3 linked regions of the Mus musculus genome follow. The protein of the gene in region 1 purifies or fractionates together with the protein of each later gene. This does not show direct contact. Links are inferred from orthologs where the notes say so. Each region holds a gene or a part of one and is shown in the gene's direction. Other genes may lie near its edges.

Region 1 (3,997 bases):
CTGCCAGCCATAGGCTTCCTTTCTCCCTGCACTTTTGCCTGCAGACCCCCACCCCACTCCTGCCTCTTGACCTCCCTAACCCTGCACTCTGAAAACCTCTCTGCACTTCTGGAAGCCTTCCTGAACATCTAAATTGTACTCTGCACCTCTGCATCTCTCCCAGCCTCCCTGCACTTCTTCCTGCCTCTGGAATCCTCTGAACCTTATCCCTGGCCTCCCAACGTTCATTGTCTTGGTATCTAACCCATCCCGTTCTCCCCTTCCTTAACACCGTTTTTCCCCTTGCCACGTCCCCTGACCCTTTCTCCCTTTTCATCTCCCCCTTAGCGTCTTCACCCTCCTGCCAACACTTAGTCTGCAAAAACTGCAGTACTTAGGTCAGGCTGAGGGAAGAAGGATGGTGTGGGGAGAGGAGCCTAGCTGGGGGCTCTGACTGTTCTCTACTGGGGACCACCCAGGCCCAGACCATACCCTACCCCTACCCCTAAGGTGCCTATTGGGTCCCAAAGCTGGCAAGTGAGTCCTCACCTGGGGGACCTTCTGAGAGTCCTTATTCTGAACATCCAGGGGAGGAAGGGGCATAGCTGCGCCTGAAGAGTCAGCCTGAATTGATCTGCCCGTTTGGGCTTTTTAACCTCAGAGTTTCTTGTTTGAAGGTCTATTTATGTGCTTTGTAAACAGTAGAATTCAAAACAAAACAAACAAACAAAAACAGGACCAAAGTTCCCAGCTGCAGGGAGCAAGGGAAGGGTGGGGGAGCTCTGTAATTATTCTCTAAGAGGATGAGGGAGGTTTGTTGCACGCGACAGCCCTCTGAGGAGGCAGAGAGCCAGCTGCGATGCATTTCAGAGTTGGCGGGGTTTTTTGTTTGTTTCCTTTCTTTTTTAAAAAAAAAAAAAAAAGTTGGGGGAAAACTAAAATTCCTTTTCAAAAAATAAAACTGAGTCTCCCTTTTTGTATGCTGAATGCTGCATGAGTCTTAAACACTAATAAACAGAGAATGCATGAGACTGGCCTCAGTTGGTCCCTGTGTTTGCAGAGTCAAGGTACTGCTTTCTGGCAGGCCCTACTGAACGGAATACGCATGCGCTGCCGCAGTGGCCATCTTTAGTATGGGCCGAGGTTAATGAGTCCTAAGGGCCAAATTGCGCATGCGCAAGTCTTCTCTTTCCTCTTCCAAGTAGCTTTGACTACCGCGGAGCCTCCGCGCGCCATTTCTCTGCGCCTGCGTACTGAGATGCTGCGCAGCCTGGGAGGCGGGTTTTAGCTCCAGGTTTGTACCGCTGCTGAGTAGACGCGAACTAGGTTTGCCCGGTCTAAAAAGATGACTTCCATCCCGGTGATGGAGAAGGCGATGTGAAAGCGAGAAAACAGGCCCTTCCCTTTCCAGCTCCGAGCGTGTTTCCTGCGGGTCCCTGGGAACGGCAGAATTCTGGGTCCGTGGGGTGGGGTCTGTCCTTGCAGGGGTTTGAGCGCCCCCTCCTGGGGACGGTGCTCTGGCCGCAGTCAGCTGTTGGACTGACTGGCGATTTCCTAGACCTAGAAAGGCTCTCCAGCCTTTCGGGTGAGGCGCACTGGTTTGGTACTCTAGAATCTCCTCTATTGCTGGGCTTCTTCTCTAGTACTCTATGTCCCTTGCCCTGGGCCATGGAACCATTGCAGGCAGCACAGCAGCGCCTCTGTCTGAAGAAGGGGAAGTGACTTCCGGCCTCCAAGCTCTGGCGGTGGAGGACACTGGAGGTCCCTCTGTCTCGGCTAGTAAGGCCGAGGAAGAGGGGAAAGGCAGTCAGGAGGAGGCCGGGCGTGAGGGATCCAGGCCTGAGGAGGCACTAGAAGCTCCCAGCGCTGCGAGCGACGAGCGTGCGGAGGGAGAAGCCGAAGACTGGTGCGTGCCCTGCAGCGATGAGGAGGTGGAGCTGCCGGCCAATGGGCAGTCCTGGATGCCCCCACCCTCCGAGATCCAGCGGCTCTATGAACTGCTGGCTACCCAAGGTACTCTGGAGCTTCAAGCAGAGATCCTACCCCGCCGGCCGCCTACCCCAGAGGCCCAGAGTGAAGAGGAGAGATCAGACGAGGAGCCAGAGGCCAAAGAAGAGGAGGAGGAAAAGTGAGGCCATGCTTTACACATTATTCCCGGGACTGCTCTCCTGAGCACGGAGCCTGGAGGGAGGGGAGAGCAGGAAAGGATGAGGCGGCGGGCTGGGGTGTGCCAGCGGGTGTTAGGGAGTGCTTCTCTCAACCTTGGCTTTCTGTCCACCCTGTTTCAGGCCGCACATGCCTACAGAATTTGACTTTGATGATGAGCCAATGACACCAAAGGACTCACTGATTGACAGGAGACGGACACCAGGTACGGATGAGAGGGAAGAACTGAGGGGAGGTAAAGGGCCTCCCCTAGTTACCCCGCCCACAAGTGGGCTGGTCTGAGGCCTTGGCTGGTTTCAGCCATCATCTTGACCAGCAGTGGGACGGAGCATTCATACAGTAGCATTCACACAGTAGCAGCATAGTTCTGGCTTAGGTCAGTGCCATACTTTCCTATCAGGGACCCCGCAGACCTTCCCAGAAGTTCAAAGTTTGTTGAACACATCTCTGAAGTACTATGTTCATGCCCAGAGCTGACCTGACATCCCAGCCTGTGGGCCTTCCTAGAATATGCTTTTAGAATCATTCTGGAGCTCTCTCGCAGCCGGCCAAGCCAACAGCAAGTTGCATTAGCTCCGCTTGTACAGATCCACCATTGTCAACCAGAGGAGTCCTTTTAAGTGAGGTCCCGTCTTTCCTCAGCTTGTACTACTCCCGAGGATTCCATTCCAGAGAGGAAGAGCATGTCCACGGAGAGTCTTAAGTTTTCTGGCCTCTACCCCTGCCCCAGGACCTTTGCACATGATGGTTATGTTCCCCAGCCATTGCATTATGGGTATCTTAGTCTAATACCAGCCATCCTGTGTGTGGCCCAAACCTAAACATTAGCTCCTCTGTGCCCCTGAGGCCTAAGAAGGGAGTATTTAACAAGATCTCTAAGTGTGGGCACTTGGAGGGCTCACGTCTCAATGCTGTCATGTTTTCTACCATCTTAGGAAGCTCAGCCCGGAGCCAGAAACGGGAGGCGCGTCTGGATAAGGTCCTCTCAGACATGAAGCGCCATAAGAAACTAGAGGAGCAAATCCTCCGGACCGGGAGAGACCTCTTCAGCTTAGACTCAGAGGGCCCCAGCCCCACCAGCCCTCCACTCCGATCCTCAGGAAACAGTCTCTTTCCCAGACAGCGGAAGTACTGACTGGTGCTGCTCCTGCCTACAGGTGCAGACTGTTTTGTGCTGGGCATGGCCAGCCTTTCCCAACCCAGGCTCTGGGGAACTTGTAATGGGGAAGGCCTCAGGCTCCCAGCGCAGTGCCTCTCAGGAGAGTGCCTGTGTGTTCTGTTTAGTGTCTGTTCGCAGTTTTGAGCTGGATGTGCTAAATCTAATAAAAGATGCCCGATGAGTTGGGCGTGGTGGCGCACGCCTTTAATCCCAGCACTCAGGAGGCAGAGGCAGGCGGATTTCTGAGTTCGAGGCCAGCCTGGTTTACAGAGTGAGCTCCAGGACAGCCAGGGCTACACAGAAACCCTGTCTCGAAAAACCAAAAAAAAAAAAAGATGCCGGGTGATCTTCTCAGAGGAGAGACTGCAGCTCAACCCAAGCACGCATTCTCACTTGGGCAGAGGCAGAGCTGTGTTCCTCCACACTGTAATATTGAAGCCAGAAGAGGCAGAGGCTCAGCCAGCCACCATCCCCCACCCCCACCCTTACTGCTGCATCCTCTGATTTCCTAGTCTCGGTCCAGACCCGCCAGTTAGCACTGATTCAGAAACTGCCCCCAGCTGTGGTGACTTCAGTGCAGCCTGGAGGAGCAAAAGATCCAGTTGCAGGGCCCTTTAAATACACAAGCTCCGCCCCTGCCTGCCCAGCCCATTAGGGAAGTCATCCCAAGTGTTGGTGAGGGAAATTCCTGAC
Region 2 (3,485 bases), on another chromosome or scaffold:
AGGCAGGCATGGAGCAAGAGGAGCTGAAAAATCTACATCTTGTTTCAAAGTGAAACAGTACAAGGCTGGCTCCTGAGGCAACTAGGAGGAAGGTCTCAAAGCCCATTCTCACAGTGACATACTTCTTCCAAGAAGCCACACCTCCTAATAGTGCCACTCCCTGGGCTAAGCATGTACAAACCACCATACTGAATAACTTTGAAAAATTTTATTGTAATTAACTAAACTGGTACCCAATATGACCATGAGTTTGACTGACTATTGTATTTCTTAGCCTAACAGTTTGAGGACTCAAGGTCCATGGGCGATGCATATATAGCTGAAGTTCCGGTTAGAGACATCTTTATGTCTCAGCCAGGTTCAGAGCTGTTCCTATGTAGAGGAATCAGCAAATGATGTTGTTACCTGTTCTATTGGTCTTCTTGATTTCTTTCTTTCTGTCTGTAGCTAAGATCTTTCTTTGGGGGGCGGGGGATGTCTTCTTCTATCAAATCTGATTTTTTATTAATTTGGATGGAATCCATAGTTTTTCTTTTCCTGTAGAAACAAGAGCATATTCTCTCCCCCAATGTAAGAATTTTGTTTAACCTGCCTTTAAGAAACAATGTATCATCTACCTTACTTGCCTTGGATTTCCCTTGTAATCACCTTTTACAACCCAAGCTATTAAATAGCTATACTTAAATTATGTACTCTTCTGTGTCCCTGACCTAAGAGTGATAGCTGTGTGCTTCAACGTGTGTTCTGATCATCTTTGCTGGAAACAGCAGATGGGCTGGAAGCTATCTTAGAAACAAATATCCATCATTAATGTTGAACATACCATTTGGATACTGCTTGATCTATAGTCATGTTAGCAATACTGTCTGTTGCCTGGATCATTGGGCATTGGTTGGAGTCAGCTAAAGATTTCTGTGAAATCATTGTTCCTTCTGTATATGATGGTTTTTTTTTTTTTTTTTTTTTTTTTAATGCTGCTCAATAAAGAGGAGAGGAAAACCCTTTGTGAGGGACAGAAGCAGACTCGGGGACAGGGACAGATTTCCAAGATACCCTTCAGGCAGGCACAGATTCAGATTTATACAATAGAAAGGAGAGGATGGAAGACACAGGGAGAGAGTTGAAATTCTGAACCTTTTGGTTAAGTGACATCAAGGAAAGTGTTTTGATTTTTTGTCCTTATTGCAACACCAATGTCTTTTCAGACTCTTGAGTTATAAATGTGTTCAGAATGACCACGGCATCTAAATGTAGTTATTTTTCCTGACCACAGGCCATGTGGTCCATGTGGGAAATGTTCAACTAACCCCTCTGTGAGCTAACCCTCTCTGTGGGCTAACCCCTCTGTGAGCTAACCCCTCTGTGAGCTAACCCTCTCTGTGAGCTAACCCCTCTGTGGGCTAACCACTCTGTGAGCTAACCCTCTCTGTGGGCTAACCCCCTCTGTGAGCTAACCCTCTCTGTGAGCTAACCCCTCTGTGAGCTAACCACTCTGTGGACTAACCCCTCTGTGAGCTAACCCCTTCTGTGGGCTAACCCACTCTGTGAGCTAACTCCCTTTGTGAGCTAACCCCTCTGTGGGCTAACCCTCTCTGTGAGCTAACCCCCTCTGTGGACTGGCCCCTTCTGTGGGCTAACCCCCTCTGAGCTAACCCCCTCTGTGGATTGACGCTTTCTGTGAGTTAACCCCCTCTGTGAGCTAACCCCCCTGTGGGGGTGGGGGTGCAGAAGATAGGGAGCTAGTGGGGAACTTAACCTTCATAGTTCTAGAAAATTAAGATATCTTGTAATAAAATCTCAGTAGAGCAGGTGTTCTCTACTTTAATTTTGAGATAAGAGTCAGACAGATCTGGGATTTCATGGCCAGCCTGCTCTATATAGAAATTCTAGAGCTACACAGACAACCTGTTGGAAAAAACAAAGCCCCAAGAAAGCTTTATGAAAAGTTGCATGCAATTAAAAACATTTAAAAGATATGTTTCTGTTTACTTCTAGACAAAGTATTTCTATATCACCCCTGGCATCTGCCCAAGCCTTGCAACTATGAAGGCAATTGTAGAGTGTGCAGGGGGAAAGGTGCTAGCCAAGCAGCCGTCCTTCCGGAAGCTCATGGAGCACAAGCAGAATAAGGTGAGAGCAGAGCCCCGAGACGCCAGTGCTGTGCCTTGTGGGTGCTTCTCCCTCGCCCTCACTCAGAGCTCATTCTCTCTTTCCCTAGAGTCTTTCAGAGATCATTTTAATATCCTGTGAGAACGACCTGCACTTATGTCGCGAGTACTTTGCCAGGGGAATAGGTATGGCTCCGTGCACCTCTACACTGACCTGTGAGTGTTCTCAGTGGCCTTGTCCTAACAGTTTTGGTTCTGTTCCTTCAGATGTTCACAATGCGGAGTTTGTCCTGACTGGAGTACTCACACAGACACTGGACTATGAATCATATCCTTTACGAAGGCGCATTGCAGGGACAGGTGAGGCTGAAGGCGCATTTGCAAGTTAAAAAGGGGCATCATGGTTCTGGTCTCCAGACTTTTTCCTTGCTATTACAGGTGACCTGCCTATTTAGCTTACATAGGTGTTGAAGGATTTTACAGTTTGACCCCATAGAAAAAGATGGGAGTCTATGCCTGAGGGCTATTCCACCCTCCACAGCCATGAGGTGGGAAGTGACACAGCTTGATATGGCATTATAGTTAAGGTACAGATGTGGCTGGGTCTGTGTTGAACAGCTAAGGTTTTTCAGGCTCCCAGGGAGGAAGCCTGTCAGTTTACAGTCTGTATCACTAAATCTCAGCTATTAGTTTTAGAAGGACTCAGATTTTGTTTTTCTTTTTTTTTTAAGATTTATTTTATTTATATGTATGAGAACACTGTTGCTGTCTTAAGACACACCAGAAGAGGGCATCAAATCTTGTTACAGATGGTTGTGAGCCACCATGTGGTTGCTGGGAATTGAACTCCAGACCTCTGGAAGAGCAGTCAGTGCTCTTAACCACTGAGCCATCTCTCCAGCCCAGGGCACAGATACTTGAGAGGAGGTTTTACTTTATTGCATGCTGGCCTGGCACCCTGTGGCCTGGGCTGACTTCATAGGGATCACCTTGAGTGCCAGGATTTCAGGCATGAGCCACTGTGCCCAGCTGAGGTGGTTACTTTAATGTGTGAAAAGCCCCCAGATTAGAGTGATGTCATTATTGGTCCTCCATCTGTGTGGTGTCACCCAGCTGAGTGCATTTACCAAACACTTCCTCTTAGCCCCGAGAGCTCAGTAAACAGAGCTAGATGACATAGCTTGGTGGCCGTAGGAGCTAGCAGGAGTCCCTGGCAGGGATCTTCCTCCAAGCAGACTGAGCTGGACAGTGACAGGAGGCAGGTGTGCTGTAGCATCTGGTCTTTATACAGCACATCCTCTGATGACTTCTCCAGGCTTCTCCAGACTTCTTCTTAACACTGCTTGCACTTGAGAACATGGTAGAGCTGCTTCTCAG
Region 3 (3,500 bases), on another chromosome or scaffold:
AGCAGTCGGGTGCTCTTACCCACTGAGCCATTTCACCAGCCCTAAATAACATTTTTTATGGTAGTAATTATCTTATTCCCCTCAGTATGCTAGAAATAAAATTATACTTATTCATTTGCCATTAGTATGTTTTTGCTGTCTTCACCAGCCTTCTGGTGAATTGTTGATTCAACACACTTCTAAAAGGGTCTTAAACAGCATCAGGCAGGGCTCCTAAGAAAGAGAGGCTTAGGAGGAAGCTAACCTACCTCCAGTTCTACCATTATCTTACCATGAAACCTGTCTTAGACTATTAGTGTTTCTTTCATTGTTTTAGCTATAAAAAATTTTTAAGTGAAGGATACCACAAAATCTTCATTTATAATTTGAAATAACTGGAAAGTTATATAAGGAACAAATTGGCATAGTGATTTGGTTGTCCTTAGGACCTGTTAAATGCTTGGGGGGGGGTCTCTTATTGTTTATGTGTGGGTATTTTGGCTGCGTGTGTCTGTACACCACATGCTTCTGTATCTGATGCTACCGGAGGCTAGATAAGAGTGTCAGGTCTCCTGGATCTACAGTGACAGGTGGTTATGAGCTGCCATGGTGATGCTAGGAATTGAACCTGGATCCTCTGGAAGAGCAGCTATAGCTCATAACCTCTGAGCCATCTCTCCAGTCTTATGCTGCTGCTGCTGGTGCTGTTTTTTAAAGGAATTTGATGGTTTATAAAACTATACAGAGTGTTATGGGACAAAATACTGTTTACAAGGGGGTGACCATAATCAAATCAAAGGGAAATTAGTTTAGGAAAGGAAGATACAAATGGGAATAAAAAATAAACCAAATGAGGAATATAAGCACACTGGATCCTCAAAAATGTGGGCATGAGTAGGAAAAAAAGAATGTTTTCATTTTTTTCTTTCCCACTAGAATTCTTTTTTTATTTTTTATTTTTTGGTTTTTGTTTGTTTGTTTGGTTGGTTGTTTTTTTGAGACAGGGTTTCTCTGTATAGCCCTGGCTGTCCTGGAACTCAGTTTGTAGACCAGGCTGGTCTCGAACTCAGAAATCTGCCTGCCTCTGCCTCCCGAGTGCTGGAATTAAAGGCGTGTGCCACCACGCCCGGCTTCCCACTAGAATTCTAAGTTACAGAAAGAATCCAATGGTTAATGTCTCCAAGTCTTCGTTCCACAGCAAAGCTAAGTAGCTTTGTTGTGGTATTTTCCACCTTTATTGTTTGAGTACCGTCTCCATCCAGTTGGCAGACATGTAAAGTTACCTTAGGCTGCTGAATCCCTGGCATCTGGGTTGCATTAATAGCTACACTGGAGTCGGTATCACAGGAGTGACACTGCAGAGTACTGGAAGCTCAGAGTCCTGCTCAAGCTAACATCAAAGGTCATTATATAAAACATAGTATCAGGAATTAGAGAGTGACACTGAGTAAGGACACTGCTAAGATTAAATGAACTGTAAGGTTTAATGAAATGGCCAGGTTACTCTTATGTCACTAGTAAGAATCCAGACTAGAAAGATACAAATAATGGTAAGAGCAATATATAAACACATTGTTGTTGTTTAAAGTAGGAAGAGGTTGCACTAGATTCCTGTGTTCCTTATACAGCTTACTCAATCTGTGCTACTTGTGTTTTAGCACCCCAGATAATCGTCCAACTGGTCTAGAGGAAGTTGATCAACAGTCATTACCTGGAGAACAAGGAATCAACTTGGACACCACAGGCCCCAAACTGCCAGACTTTTCAAACCGGCCACCAGGTAATAAGATACTAGCTAAAATTATAAACTTTGCACTGCATATACACCTTTACAAGGCTTCTTTCCTTCCGTCAAACAATAATGCTCTCTGTCTACTAACTAGACTGCTTCAGGAATATACTGTGCAAGCACTGCATTGGTTAAGTAAATACTTAAATATAATGTCCATAGGTACATGTAAATGCACACACATGCAGACGTGCTTAAACTGTCTTCTTCATTAGTCCTCAAACCAGACTTAGTGCAAAGTGCCTTTTTTGGTCAGCATTGTAGTTTTAGTTGCCATCAAAATAAAATATGATAGTACAGAGATCTACTCACTGTATCCTGCTTGTCTGCAGTTCTTACTTCCTGAGACGTTTTCAAAGCAGAGAACTACTGCTAGGACTTAAAGCAAGATGACTTTTTTAGTAAAAGAAAATTTATTCTGACTCTTTAAAACATAAGCAATAATCATGTGATTACTGTCAGCTCAATAGCTTAAAATGAATAGTTTCAATAGTATTGAAGCCCCTTCACTGATTATAAAATGTTATCTTTTCAATGTTAAAGAGCATGGTTTTATAAAAATCAGAAATTGATTCTTTCCAACCCAGGTATCATGGCACCAAGACCAGATATCACAATTTCTCTGCACCCATTTTTTTTCTTGGTCTAAACAATGACTTATAACTTTATTCCAGAATTCAAGTCAAAGTTTCACAAGCCCTCTCCTATAGATATAGAGAATTAATGCTTTGTTTCTTCCTCTTAAGTAATTTCACCTATTCTTTGGCATATTAATGAAAGTGACATTATTTTTTAGAGTTAACCTTTTATCTGCTTTTAATTTATAAATTTATATGTTTCAAAAGTACATCATCATGATGTCAAGACTTGATGTTATTTATTACAAATTGCTTAGCATACTACAGTCATCTCTAGTGAGCCAATAGCACTGTTGAAGCTACTAGTCTCCAGTCCTGGGTGAGTACGTTCAGAAGACATTGTGAGCAGGAAGGGAGGTATCCTCTTATCTCAGGCATAACTCTTGCGTGGATTAAAGAGTTCTTTCAAACATTTATTGCCTCCTTTCTGCAAACTGGGAACCTGAGGCTCAATTTGACCTTTAACAGATTTGAATCGCTAGTGGTGTCTAAATAAATCCCTGAGTTTAATTGACTGTAGAAATAGGTGACTGCTGTGCAGTTGGGCGGGCAGTGTCTGCAGGACCCTGCTGTCCTATGCAGTCTACTTCTCTCTTTACTATCTGCCTGGCCCCTAAAGGCATCAAGGCTTTGTACCCCTTGACTAATACATATAGTTACTGTGTGTACCTGGCTTTCCTCTCAGCCATCTATCCCAGTCTGTCTTCTTAGCACTAAGCCCCTTCGGACTGATTCCTCCAGCTTCTGGACCCTTTGTAACAGCTGAGCCTTTAGCTCTTGCTTTTGAGAGGCTGCCTTGTCATCCTATTACTTGTCTTTGTATTTACTATGCTGTCTGATAAACTCATTTAAAGATCTGAGAGGCATCTGTGCTAGCACCCTGACACAAACGAACTTTTCCAAAAATTACACTTTTCTTAATGTTGGAACCCCAAAGTATATAAGAACCTGTTACGTTTGACCTGTTGGAATGCCAAATTTATAAGTATCAACAAGTGACTCGGACCTAAAACAAAACAAAAGGATTTTAAAGAAAACCTTCAAAACTGTATTCCCAGCATTTGCAGGGTGGAGGCAGCAGGGTTAGCAGTTCA

The links. Proteins that work in one complex are often made in the same cells at the same time.
Region 2: the proteins of Pagr1a (region 1) and Paxip1 purify together in Homo sapiens (affinity purification with mass spectrometry; 6 studies listed by BioGRID and IntAct, with this or other methods). This does not show direct contact. The link is inferred for Mus musculus from reciprocal best matches to the Homo sapiens genes PAGR1 and PAXIP1.
Region 3: the proteins of Pagr1a (region 1) and Ncoa6 purify together in Homo sapiens (affinity purification with mass spectrometry; 3 studies listed by BioGRID and IntAct, with this or other methods). This does not show direct contact. The link is inferred for Mus musculus from reciprocal best matches to the Homo sapiens genes PAGR1 and NCOA6.

What each region holds. Positions count from the first base shown.
Region 1 is NC_000073.6:127,014,553-127,018,549, reverse strand, and holds Pagr1a (PAXIP1-associated glutamate-rich protein 1A), read left to right. Parts: upstream 1-1,197; 5' UTR 1,198-1,628; coding exon 1,629-2,107; intron 2,108-2,267; coding exon 2,268-2,350; intron 2,351-3,080; coding exon 3,081-3,280; 3' UTR 3,281-3,499; downstream 3,500-3,997. UniProt on the Homo sapiens protein: Its association with the histone methyltransferase MLL2/MLL3 complex is suggesting a role in epigenetic transcriptional activation. However, in association with PAXIP1/PTIP is proposed to function at least in part independently of the MLL2/MLL3 complex.
Region 2 is NC_000071.6:27,743,066-27,746,550, reverse strand, and holds part of Paxip1 (PAX-interacting protein 1), read left to right. Parts: intron 1-1,995; coding exon 1,996-2,130; intron 2,131-2,218; coding exon 2,219-2,294; intron 2,295-2,375; coding exon 2,376-2,436; coding exon of another isoform or gene 2,437-2,497; exon of another isoform or gene 2,498-3,485.
Region 3 is NC_000068.7:155,409,784-155,413,283, reverse strand, and holds part of Ncoa6 (nuclear receptor coactivator 6), read left to right. Parts: intron 1-1,637; coding exon 1,638-1,759; intron 1,760-3,500. UniProt on the Homo sapiens protein: Nuclear receptor coactivator that directly binds nuclear receptors and stimulates the transcriptional activities in a hormone-dependent fashion. Coactivates expression in an agonist- and AF2-dependent manner.